Linked DNA regions of Rattus norvegicus. The protein of the gene in region 2 interacts with the protein of the main gene of each other region in a pairwise test. Links are inferred from orthologs where the notes say so. Each region holds a gene or a part of one and is shown on either strand. Other genes may lie near its edges. The genes, in order: Cebpg, Cebpe and Ddit3.

Region 1 (4,073 bases), on a different chromosome or scaffold from region 2:
GACTGCTGGCTGTGGGAGGCTTGCCAAGAACCAACACAGAATGCAGCTGTCAGGGAGGGTAGCTGGCAAAAAGAGAGTCTACCTCAATGTACATATGACATACAAGGATATTTTTATTTTCTATAGTTTTTATATGATTAGAAAATATTAGGGATAAGATCATGATTATTTTGTGAGAAACAAAGCACAGTTCATCTTTGATAGTGCTAAGAGTCATGAAAAAAAAAATGGCTCTTAACACAGCGATCCAAACCTAAAGAAACATACTGGTTTTGAGACAGCTCCCCAAATGTGCATAGGGTTATCAGGAGTCATTCTCTGTGTTTGCCTGTTTTTTGTTTTTTGTTTTTTGTTTTTTTGTTTTTTTTGTTTTTTTCTTTTTTTGTAGGTATTCTCATCTCTCAGGGATTCCTGGAAGTCTTAAGTGGAGAGCTGCTCTCCTGGCCTTGGCGCGGATGAAGAAACATTTCTTTTTGAAAGCCAGTGAGTTTTGAATGATAAGCATTGCTAAAGAGGAAGCAATCAAACCTATCTCTCAGGCTCTGCCCTCCACCCAGCACGCTGCTTCCTGTACTTCAAAAAACAAAAACAAACAAACAAACAAACAAAACCCAACAAAACCAGCTTTTTGATTCTTTTGTGAACTGTTTGGGAGAACCAGGCTGGACTGCTTGTCACTTTTAAGACAGCACCTCAGGTCCATCATCCGCTCTCACAGAGACGAGCACACTTTGGAAATCGTGATTTGTCTGAGAGCCACAGTCTACTGTTCTCAAGAGTGTGACAAGTGCTAACCCTAGCACTGGACAGTTTTTCCTTAACGTGCTTTTGTCAAAATGAAGTTTGCAGACGCCCTAGGGCCGCGAGGCCTAAACAAAACAAAAAAAATCAAAATCACTAACTCAAAAATCCACCCGAGGAAATGCCATTTCCCTAAGGCAGGTGAGACTCTCATTACTATGACAGAACTTTTCTCGCTACCGGTCACTCCCATCGCTCAGGGCCGCCGCCCGCCACCACGGACAGCCTAAGGGGGAAACCGCGGAGCGCGCCTCCAGCCAGCGCCGGTGCTACCACGCCCACCACGCCCGCTCCGCCGTAAGTCCGCCTCTTGCTGCCACCCTGGCTGTGATTGGCTGGTGGAGCTGCCGGTCTTGAGAAGCGAGCGCGTCGTTCTCCGAGCAGCGCTTCTATTGGTCACGGCTGCGGCGGCAGCGCGCGGACCCGAAGAGGAGGGGAAAGCCGGTGGCCGCGGTGGCGGAACGGGCGGAGGCTGCCGGTTTCGTAACCGTCGCTCCTCCTCGCCGACTCGCAGGCTGCGAGGCCTGGGTAGGGTCGGACCGCGCCGCGCGGGGCCGCTCGGAGTGGAGGCCGTCTGGGGGCGGGCGGGCCGGCCGGAGGCGCAGGTAAGGAGGCCGCGGGTTCTAGCTCGGAGGGGTTGGGGGAGGAGGCCGCAGCGGAGCCCGCCGCTCGCGTAGGCACCGGCCGGGCTCGAGGAGACCCGGCCCTGCCGGATTCAGCAGGTTGGCCCGGAAGGCCCCCGGCGGCTTGGCGGCGCGGGCGGGGACCGGGAGCGGCGTCTGATGCAACCTGCGGGCAACACCCGGCGGGGCTGAGCTCATCCCTGGCCGCGGCCCAGCGCCGCCGCGCAGGGCGCCGACCCCCGCGCTCCCCCAGGCGCCCCCTCACCACAGTCGGGGAAGGGATGGAGTACCAGGTGGCCCCTCCAGAACCTGCTCCCCGGCGACGTGCAGCGTGACAAGCCTGGCGCGCATTGGCCCCTGGGAATGGAGAGTGTTTCTAGAATAGAAGATGGACCGAATCTTACTTTGGAGCCACCTAGGACTCTTCTGTCGCTTCCCAAACGGCTCGGTCTGGGGGAGGAGGGCCCGGGTCCTATTTGGAGTTAATAACCTAGTGGTCATCTAGGGAAGGCACTTGATTTTTTAAACACTTAGCGCTGCAAGAGGGAGATTTCGTTTGTTTTTTGGGACGCGGCCGCGTGTCTTGTAGTTCATTGGGAGGGGAAGGACATCCTAGATAGCGCACCGGTTCACTAGACGCAGAAGGTCAAGCCATGAAGCCTTTCCTTAGCTCGCCTGGAGGGAACTCGGGAAAAGAGCCAGCAGACGAATACAGGTGGAGAAGTTGGGCGGCGTGCGTGAGGATTGTTTCTCTTTCTAAGTGCGCTTGTGTATTTCTGGTCTTAAGAAGGCTGGCATGCTTAGATTTGCTCTGCTCTTTGTTGTATTTTGTTTGTTTCTTTGTAAGCCGCCTCATAAGATGTATCAAATTTAGAAAGGTTTTAACCTTTGTGAGTTGCACAACAGCTGGGGCCTGTGTCTCTGGAGTTTCCACCCGCTTGAATCCTTACTTGAATATATTATCATTGAATGCATACCTGTCTCACAGAGGAAATTTTGAAATAAAGCACCCCGTCTTTACTGAGAAATTCAACATAGAAGAATTCAGAGCATGGTAGGCAAGCCACTCTACCTCTGAGCCGCATCCCTAGCCTTCAGAGCGCTCTAAGGTCCGTTCAGCTGTTGTCATTTGAGTAGTATTAATAAGCTATCCCTGCGGTTCTTACCTGTTCCTGAAAAACTGTAGATAATGGCAGGACGCTACTGAGCTGAAGAAATACTTGAGTCTGTTTCCTGAGTCCGATGGGCATGCCCGACTGACTCAGTTATTTTTATGACCTATCAGAAACAAATAGGTGGGAGCAGACTTCCCTCCCCCTCCCCCAATATCCTTTAAATTCTCACACCACGTCATGATTGCCAGCCAGCTCTGTGATCTTGGAGAGGTCCTTTCATCCCTAGCGAATTAAATGCTCCCTAGGAAAGTCCCTGGGAGCATTCCCTTCTGAGATCATGGGAAGACACACAGGACCTGGTTGACAGTTGCCACAGTCACAATAATGAGTACTGTAGCAATTTTAGGTTTCCCTCAGAGGGGTGGTTGCATAGGTTCTTACACTAGCAAGTTTATTGGTCCTCTCTCTAGTCCATTGCTGTGCCCTGCCATTAAAGAGAGGGAAAAAAGTGAACAGGAACTCCTAATAAATATAGTTATAAACAATGTATTTTTGAATGTGCTAAATAGTACTATAAATAGATGTAAAGGATAACATCCAAACAAGCTTATGTTTTCTTCACAACTCCAGTGGACCACTTACACTGAACTCCTTGAAGGAGTCTCCTCTCCTTCATGGACTCTGCCTCCTACAGTCTCCAGGGAGCTGGGATTGCCAAAGAGACTGGGGGAGCAGATTGAACAAAAGGCACAAAGAGAAAACAGAGACCATTTAGAATGCTTTAGGGAGCAGAACTTGTAGAGAGGGTTAGGATCTTGGCTTTGATCCTGTAGTCACAGACATTGATTTTTAGTAGCAAGATGTGACATTGTTAGGTTTGAATGGAAGACTGCTTGACTTGCAGGTACCAAACTCTTTGAGGTCAAATGACTGATCCTTTTATAGGGGTCACCTAAGACCATCCGAAAACAGATATTTATATCATGATTCATAACCATAGCAAAATTACAGCTATGTAGTAGCAACGAAAATAACTATGGCTGGGGGTTGCCACAGCATGAAGAACCTGTATTAAAGGGTCAAAACATCAAGAAGGTTAACTATTGCTCTAGATAATCTAGATAGTGGGTGCTTGGAGGGAGCTCAGGCTGCTACACCAGAGGCTAGGGCTCCTGGGAGATGATGTCAACCTGAGGTAATTTCTGTGGCATTAGGAACGACAAGAGATGTGGGATATTTTTGTTTGTAAACCTGAAGACTCAACCTTCATTAAGGAAATTGAGTGAAGATTTGATTTTGGGGGGCTAATGGAGGGATACATGGTTCTATCTAGGTTTATGGAAAAAAGTGACAAGCTAGGGAAGTTCTGTACAGGTTTATTGTTCCAAGTAAAAATTTAGACAAGTTCTATTTTACTATTCTAACATTCCAGAGTTTCATTGTTTTATTCTTTTGAATGAACATTATTACTTTAGTTAATAAATTTGCATTTGAAGAAAGTTTTACTCTTTAAACATAGCCTCATATTCCTAAA
Region 2 (3,795 bases):
GAATGCTGGATCCACAGCTCAAGGACCACGAATATGGCAGGGCCATCAGAAAAATTTCCCTTGGTCACCTGGGAAAAGAGCTCCCAGGCCTAAAGTCAGAGAGCAGGCCAAAGGTCAGTGGGCCTGGCATTGGAGCTGTGTAGCACTTGGATCACGCTGAGCCCCAGGAGTTTCTCAGGGCACGATGCAGAGGCTGCTCCAGACACTGGCTTGCACCGTGGTGGTGCTACCAAGCCTGTGCTCAGTGTACAAAGGACCAAGTGGGTAGGTGGGTGGACATGGAGGTGAAGTGACAGAGGAGCAGAGAGGGACAGGCTGAGGCTTGGCTGGAGGGTGTGACGGACAGAGCCATGGGTAGCATGTTAGTATTTCTAGGCGTTCATTTGGCCATGGAGAAGACACGATGTGGACTAGCCACATGTATTCCCTGCCCTCGGGGTCTTCCAGGAGTATACACACAGCATTCCCACCAGGCCCTGGCCCAAGACCCAGTGAACAGCTCCAGCATCAAGTCACAGTGCAATTTATTCAGCCACAGAATCATTTTGGTCCCGACTTTCCCAGTTACTGGCTGCCATTGTCCATGATCTCTTTTTCAGGCTTGGCCTGTTTAGGACTCTGGGGACCTAGGAGGGTGGGCGGGGTCCTTAGGGCCCGGTGCCCATAGTCTGCCAGGCAGGCTCAGCTGCAGCCCCCGACACCCTTGATGAGGCTGGCAGCCTCGGGGATCTGGCGGAAGAGGTTGCGGAGAGTGTCTAACTCCTGGGTGAGCTGGTCCACGCGGCTGCGCAGACGCTCATTTTCCGCCATGTACTCTAACACCTTCTGCTGTGTCTCCATAATGCGCCTCTTGGCTTTGTCCCGGCTCTTGCGCACTGCGATGTTGTTGCGTTCGCGTCGCAGCCGGTACTCCAGGCTATCTTTGTTCACTGCCTTCTTGCCCTTGTGCGAGGGGCCAGCAGGGGAGGGTGCCTTGAGAAGGGGGCTGCAGGGAGGGGCAGCAGCCGCCACAGGGGCCTGGAGGGTAAGGGGACAGAGAGGTGAGGCTCCACCAGGAGGCCGAGTGAAGGCTAAGCAGGAATCCCAGTAGCAAAGGGCATACTTGAGGCCTTAAAGGGATATAGGGCTCCCGGGCATCACCCTGTGTCTGTGTAGCCCGGATGCATATGGTCCCTGATCTGAGACCAGAGCTTTCTTTTGCTCTCATATTCTCTGAGGACCCTTTCCTTTGGTTTGTCTGCAATAAGTCTCTTATTGAAAAATTCTAGTCAGCCGCATTTCCTCATCCAGAAAGCAGGCAGCAGAGAAACAAGAGACGGGGCATAGTGGACAGCAGAACGCTCCCTCCCTCCTCCGGAACAGGATAGAGCGGCTACTACAAGTATCTTTAGGACACAGTAGAGCTCTGAGAAATGAATTCAGAGTCTGGAAACAGGGTCTTGGGGTAAGCCATGTTCACAGAGGAGCACCAAACACAGACTCGTTAGGGATGCCCAGTAGTCAGAATTCCCTCATCCAACCACCTTGCTCCACCCCGGGGAGGAAACCAGGAGAGCTACCTTAGTCTTACCTTGAGGACGCGCAGGGGCTGGCCAGGTGCTGCCAGGGTCGGGGGGAGGTGCACTGCTGTCTGCCCACAGTGTGCCACTTGGTACTGCAGGGGATTGTAGCTGCCTCTGCCGGTGCCTCGGTTGCCCTCTGGCCCTCGAGGCTCCTCTTTCACCGCCACAGCCCTGGGGTCGTAGCTCCCTGGGTTGCTGTAGATGCCAGGTCCCAAAGCCTTCCTATCTGGGCCAAATGTGTGTGAGGGATAGGCAAATGGCCGAGGGTCAGCCGGCAGGTAGTGAGGAAATGAAGGTGTTCCTGGGCCCTTAAGGCTTCGGGCTTCAGGCGTTGGCTTCATGGCAAAGAGGTCAGAAAGTAGCTGTTCTTCCCCAGACTCGATGTAGGCGGAGAGGTCAATGGAGGCCTCATGCTCACACATGTCCCCCAGCTCCCCGGGCCCAGCTCGACCCCCTGAGAACTCAAGTGGCTGCTGGCCACCCCGAGGCTCGCATTCATAGTAGGTCCCGTGGGACATGGCCGGCCCGCCCCTTGGCTCCCCGCCCCTGGGTCCTGTGCTCAGGGGCGCTCCCACGTTGGGATGCTCAGCCTGCCCTCTCTTGATCTCCCCCTGTCCTAGATTTGCCCTAGGTCTGCCCTCTCTGGTCTTCTCTGTCACCAACTCCTACGTGGCTTCTCTCCTCCTCTGCTTCCCTTTCCTTCTGTAGTCAGTGCCTCTCCTTTCTTCCCTTTCCTCTCTCTCCTTGGTGTGACTCAGGGAGGGGCAGGGCACACCCCGGAGGGAGGGGTGCTTAGCAGTTAGGGTGCTCTTTGCTGAGGCCCCAGCCACAGTCCAGCATTTGCTCTTTGGGAAAATGGCCCTTCTTGCCTGTGAGCTCAAGGGATTCTAATCCCTTGCCCCAGAGTAGCTTCTCTGAATGCCTGTCTTCCTCCGACTTCCAAAGAGACCCGTGCAGAGTGAGGCGCCAAGCCAGAGCCAGCAGACAAAGCACTCCTCCAGTGCCAACTTGATCTAAACTCCTCCCTTGATGCATCTTCTTCCCTGTTCCCCCCAAGTCCTGAACTCCACCTACCCTGGGGTAAGTCAGTTCCTCTACAGCCCCACCTCCCAGGCCTCGTGTAGGCCTTCGTTGCTTGAAGGGTTTGGAAAACAGCAGTAGATTCTAGGACCAAGCTAGCCCTGGCCCTAGTAAGGGGTATGCTCATGCTAGTTTTGAGACAGGATCTCATGATGTAGCTCAGGCTGGCCTTGAACTCACAGAGTTCTGCCTGCCTTTACCTCCAGAGTGCTGCTATTAAGGCTAGGTCTTTGCACAGGGCTTGTGCGCATGTATCCAGGCTAGCAGCCCGGCACAGTCCCGGACTGCTTGGACATAGCTGAGGTTTCTGGTCAGGACATGGGCCCTGTACCTCGGGCCCAGGCTGCCCCAGAACCAACAGACAAGATCTGCTGGAGGTCCCAGTTGCTCCACCCTGAAAGAGGCTCAGGCTGACCCCACCCCGCAACTGGCCAGAGGCTCTGCCTCCTACTTCCTGTGCCCTGGGCTGCATGCAGGCCTTGGAGCTCAGGGCAGCTTAGTTTGCCGCTTTCCTTCTGCATGACTGTTTTCTGACCTCTACTTCGTGTCTCTCGGGTCCACTTCCTCTTGTAGGCTTGAGAAGCCTTCTCTCTTGTCTTCCCCTCTTCCTGGGGCTCTTTCAGGGTCCGGAGGAGAAACCGGTAGCTGCCCGATTGCCCTTCTTGATCTTCTACTAACCTCCAAAGTGTATTTTTCTCTTTTGTTTGGGAACTTCTCGCTCCTTCCAGTCGGTTGTGGCTCTGTTTCAGGCAAGGCTCTGGATTTAGTGGCAAGAAAAGAACACAGAGACATGAGAAGTGTGTTGTGTTACGTTTAACTTTTTTTTTTTTTTTTAGGTTGAGTCTCCCTGTTAGCCTAGGCTGGCCTTGAACTCTCATCTTCCTGCTTCAGCCTCTATGGAGCTGAGCTAACAGATGTGCCGTCGTACCTTCCTGGCTCTTTTATTGCAAACAGATGTTCTAGAGAGAGAATTTAGTTTTTTGGTTTTTTTTTTTTTAAAAGATTTATTTATTTTATGTATGTGAGTACACCCTTGCTGTCTTCAGATACACCAGAAGAGGGCATCAGATCTCATTACAGATGGTTGTGAGCCACCATGTGGTTGCTGGGATTTGAACTCAGGACCTCTGGAAGAGCAGTCAGTGCTCTTAAC
Region 3 (3,998 bases), on a different chromosome or scaffold from region 2:
TTGAGGCTGACTTTGAGACAAGCCAGCTCTAAAACAACATTATGGGATCAGAGAAAGACATGGTCTGACAGCAAAAGCTGGTTCTGGTCAAGGCCTGGTCTAACTCTCATCCCAGCAAAGCAAGTTGAGCAGCATTAGGAGCTGACTGGGAGGGTGGCTAAGATTACCTGCTTTCAGGTGTGGTGGTGTATGAAGATGCACTTCCTTCTGGAACACTGTGGAGAAAGGGGAAGAAACAGGTCCTTTACCTCTAGCCTCTTACTGGTCTTTCTCTAGCTGGTTTCTTAATTTCTGTCATTGGATTTTGAGACAGTTTCTCTGTGAAGCCCGGGGCATCCTGGAATTCTGGAACTCAACTCTGTAGACCAGGCCACAGAGAGGCTCGTGTGTGTGTGTGTGTGTGTGTGTGTGTGTGTGTGTGTGTGTGTGTGTGTCCCTGAAGCCAAGGACAGGCATGCTTAACTTTATTTTTAGTTGCTGACATTTGTAGTCCTGATTACATAATAGCAAAGTCCTGGCCAACTAAGTTTTCTCTAAATCCAGATAGACCTCAGATCTGCCAAAGTGAGAACTAAAATACAGGGAAGAGAGATTTCAGCAGTATTTGCTTAAACTCCATTCCCATCCTAGCCTCCAGACCTGCCCTGGGATCTCCATCTCTTTTGGTTGTTGAGCAGGCATTCAGCTTACACAAAAGGCCTTTCCTACCAAGGGGGTACAGTTCTTACTAAATGGCAACTATAGGTGCCTAAAGCCAAACATTTGGTATCCTTAATTCCTCCCTTCTCAGATACCACAGCTCAGTCTAAAGCACTGGCAACTTCAATATTCTTTAGAAGTACCCAAAACCTAAATATTTCTCACTTTTTCTCATTATTTCCAGATGTAAACTTACCATGCATTATGCATTTCATTCCCTAGATTATTTTTGGAAGCCTTGAAATCTTTTTTTTTTTTTTTTTTTTTTTTTTTTTAGACAGGGTCTTGCTGTGTAGCTTTTGCTGTCCTGGAACTTACTTTGTAGACTAGCTGGCTTTGAACTCTGATCTACCTACCTTTCAAGTGCTGGGGTTAAAGGCATTTGCCATTATTTCCAGCTAAGATCTCCTGTTTCTATTCTTGTCTTTTTTATTTTCATGGCTGCGGGTTGACCTAGGGCCCTCTACATACTAGGCAAGCAGTCTACTATTGAGCTACACACTCAACCCTTTGTTTTTGTATTTATTTTGAGTTAGGATCTGACTATGCTGGCCTGGAGCTCAGAGCTCTGCCTGCTCCTACCTCTTTGAGTGTTGGAATTAAATGCATGGGGTCTTTCCCCAACCCTTTTAATTTAGGACATTCCTCTGCTCAGATCCCCCAATGGATTCCTGTTTCAGGACTGTTGAAAGACTAGCATCCTGAGAATGCTTGCAAGGCTCTACAGGACCTGCTACTTGAGTTTCCATTCACCACCCTCTCCTGCTTACTCTAGTCCAGCTCACTGCCCTGCTCCTAAGGATACTGGCACACTCATCTCAACCCTTCTGCTCCTTCTCTCCCTTCTATAAACCTCTTCCACATTACCTGCTTGGCTCACAGGCTTGCCTTCTTTCCATCTCACCCACCCACTGAGGCAATTCCTGAATGATAAAACCTCTAGCCACCATCCTGAACTATTTTTTCCCTGCTTCTGTTTTTCCCCCCTTTTGCTTTACATTGAAATGTAAGTTTTATTGAGAACAGTTTCGTCTTTTGCTTCTAATATACCCTGGATCCCCAAATGCTTGGCACATAGTGGGTGCTTATTAGGCATTTGTTAGGAACGAATAGAGAACAACTAAGCCCACTGAGCCCAAAGGCAGAGCTGAGCTGCCTGTCTCTGGGGACTGCAGACGCAATATTGCCCTGAGTGTTTCTCTGCAGGGTTGTCCTCTAGGGAAAACTCCTTGGTCTTCCAGTGTGTGGGACCTGGCTTTCATCAGCAGAGGAGCCCCAGGCCTGAGGGTGCAGAGACAAACAGTGGGCTGGCCTGATGCAACGGTTACAGAGATTAGTTGGGAGACAGGACTGAGGAAAGAAGCAGAGATCAGTCCTAAGAGAAGCAGAAGACCCTGGAGAGATCCCAAGTAATTTCCCATAGTTAAAGAGACCCAGGCTGCTCTCTTGTACGGAAACCCAGAAACCTCTGGGGAAAAGGGAAAAACCCATCTATGCTCCTCCCACCGGCACCCCCACTCGCAAAGATCTGTCAGTCTTTGAGTTGTCTTGAACGTTAGAGACAGCTACTAAAGTGGCCATGTTGGTGGTCCCTGAGGCGCTTCAGCTTGAAAGAGTTGGGGGGAATGAGGCTGGTGGAGAAGAGGTGCTAACAGCCGGAGTCCCCAACATTGGGGGGTGTGTCCTGTTGCCCCACCTTTCCTGCGAACCGCCTAGGCCTAAGATGGCCCGCAAATGGTCAGTACTGAGACAAATTTCCGAAGGCAACCGGAGTCCCTTTGCAGAGCAGGGACCAACCTGAGACAAGGGAACGGGAATGCAATCGCCCAAAGAGGTGGCCTGTAAGCACCATTCCCGAATCAGGAATTACCCGCCTTCACTCGCCCCTCAGTCTACAAACTCACAGTGGAAGGGGTGGGGCTACACCCTCAAGGACAGTTGCCTCTAACTTTGTGGAATAGCTATGTTGGCGAGGATGGGAAAGTAAGGGGTAGACGGAGTCAGTACTCGCCTCTCTCCTCAGGTTCCGGCTGTTATTTTGGCTCTGTCGCTGCCACCCGCTCATCTTCAACATGGTATGATCGACGTATTAGACTCAAGATACTGACCTCTGGAGCGGAGAGCGAGTATCTTTTATGCTATTCGGTCCCTCCTGGGGGGGGGTAGTGTCCAGGAGCCTACCAATCAGAAAGCGGCACGCTGGCACAGGCTCCGCCTCACCCCTCACGTCCGCCACTCAGGAGTCCCGTGGCCCCGCCTCCATCGCGCCCTCTGGCTCGAGAGTCTACGTTATCTCGGACCCGGAAGTGGCTTTGGGTCACGAGGCTTCGCAGAGGAGGTGAGTGAGTCATGCGCGCGCGCGGAGGAGAGTGCGGCGAGGGAGGGGATGACGTGGGGGGGGCGGAGGGGGAGCGGGGATGATGCAATGTTTGGCAACCGGTGTCCGCGCGCGCACGCGCAGGAGACGTCGATGGTGGTGGGAGGTGCTGGGGAGCGGGCGGGAGGGGGGGATGGGGGAGAGAGGAAAGAAGGCGGAGCGCCAGCTCACAGTGTCCAACGGCCCCAACGGCTGTCCTTCCTGAACTTGTCTGCCCACCTCCCATCACCTTTAACTTACTCCTCCATAAAAGACTCATTTTCCCTGGCCCCTCCCAACTAATGGGCACCGAGGCTCTTGAACCTCTTTAAAGTTTCCAATTTGTTCACCTGGATTGACATCTTCTGGAGTCTTTTAAGAGACCTCCTCCTCTTTTAGCCTTCTAACGCTTCCCAAAGACTGAGGTACTGGCATTTCCTTGGTAGTCCATCCGCTTCTCTCAGAAGGGCAGCTTTAACGTTTGTTTCAGAATCGTCCACTGCGTGCCAGAATTCAAGTTCTTTGTAGAGTGTAGCCTCCTGCCTACTTATCCTACCCCTGCTTTGTGTGATGCTCTTATGCCCTTCACTAAGCCCAATACCCACCCTTTTCCTTCTCCAAGATAGCAAGTCCTGTGACTCCCTGCTGATTAGCTGGCCTCATGCCTCTAGGTGTCTGGGTTCACGACCTAGAGACTGGGACGTGCATGCACTTGAGCGCATGATTGCCTGGACTGGGTCATTCTAGTTTAATTTGCCCAAGGAATCTACCGTACTCAGTTGTAAATTAAAGAATGATAGGTAAAGGTAAAAACAGCACTGTGAAGAAAACTTGAGTAAAAGTAAAAACATCTTGCAAAACCTATTTTTTGTGCCATGAAAACAGAGGCCATGTGGTGGCCTATTACATAGTCTGTCGTACACTCGGGAGGGGCAAGCCAGAG

The links.
Region 1: the proteins of Cebpe (region 2) and Cebpg interact in a two-hybrid assay, tested with the Homo sapiens proteins (2 studies listed by BioGRID and IntAct, with this or other methods). The link is inferred for Rattus norvegicus from reciprocal best matches to the Homo sapiens genes CEBPE and CEBPG.
Region 3: the proteins of Cebpe (region 2) and Ddit3 interact in binary tests that used the Homo sapiens proteins (3 or more experiments, as listed by UniProt). The link is inferred for Rattus norvegicus from reciprocal best matches to the Homo sapiens genes CEBPE and DDIT3.

Annotation. Positions count from the first base shown.
Region 1 is NC_086019.1:96,826,911-96,830,983, reverse strand, and holds the start of Cebpg (CCAAT/enhancer-binding protein gamma), read left to right. Parts: upstream 1-1,247; 5' UTR 1,248-1,406; intron 1,407-1,439; exon of another isoform or gene 1,440-2,139; intron 2,140-4,073. UniProt on the Homo sapiens protein: Transcription factor that binds to the promoter and the enhancer regions of target genes. Binds to the enhancer element PRE-I (positive regulatory element-I) of the IL-4 gene. Binds to the promoter and the enhancer of the immunoglobulin heavy chain.
Region 2 is NC_086033.1:32,139,209-32,143,003, forward strand, and holds Cebpe (CCAAT/enhancer-binding protein epsilon), read right to left. Parts: upstream 2,269-3,795; 5' UTR 2,081-2,268; coding exon 1,571-2,080; intron 1,018-1,570; coding exon 682-1,017; 3' UTR 508-681; downstream 1-507. UniProt on the Homo sapiens protein: Transcriptional activator. C/EBP are DNA-binding proteins that recognize two different motifs: the CCAAT homology common to many promoters and the enhanced core homology common to many enhancers.
Region 3 is NC_086025.1:65,000,505-65,004,502, reverse strand, and holds the start of Ddit3 (DNA damage-inducible transcript 3 protein), read right to left. Parts: upstream 2,809-3,998; 5' UTR 2,774-2,808; coding exon of another isoform or gene 2,711-2,773; intron 216-2,710; coding exon of another isoform or gene 174-215; 5' UTR 168-173; intron 1-167. Other genes in the region: uncharacterized LOC128125814 homolog, read right to left, coding at 174-215, 2,711-2,773. UniProt on the Homo sapiens protein: Multifunctional transcription factor in endoplasmic reticulum (ER) stress response. Plays an essential role in the response to a wide variety of cell stresses and induces cell cycle arrest and apoptosis in response to ER stress.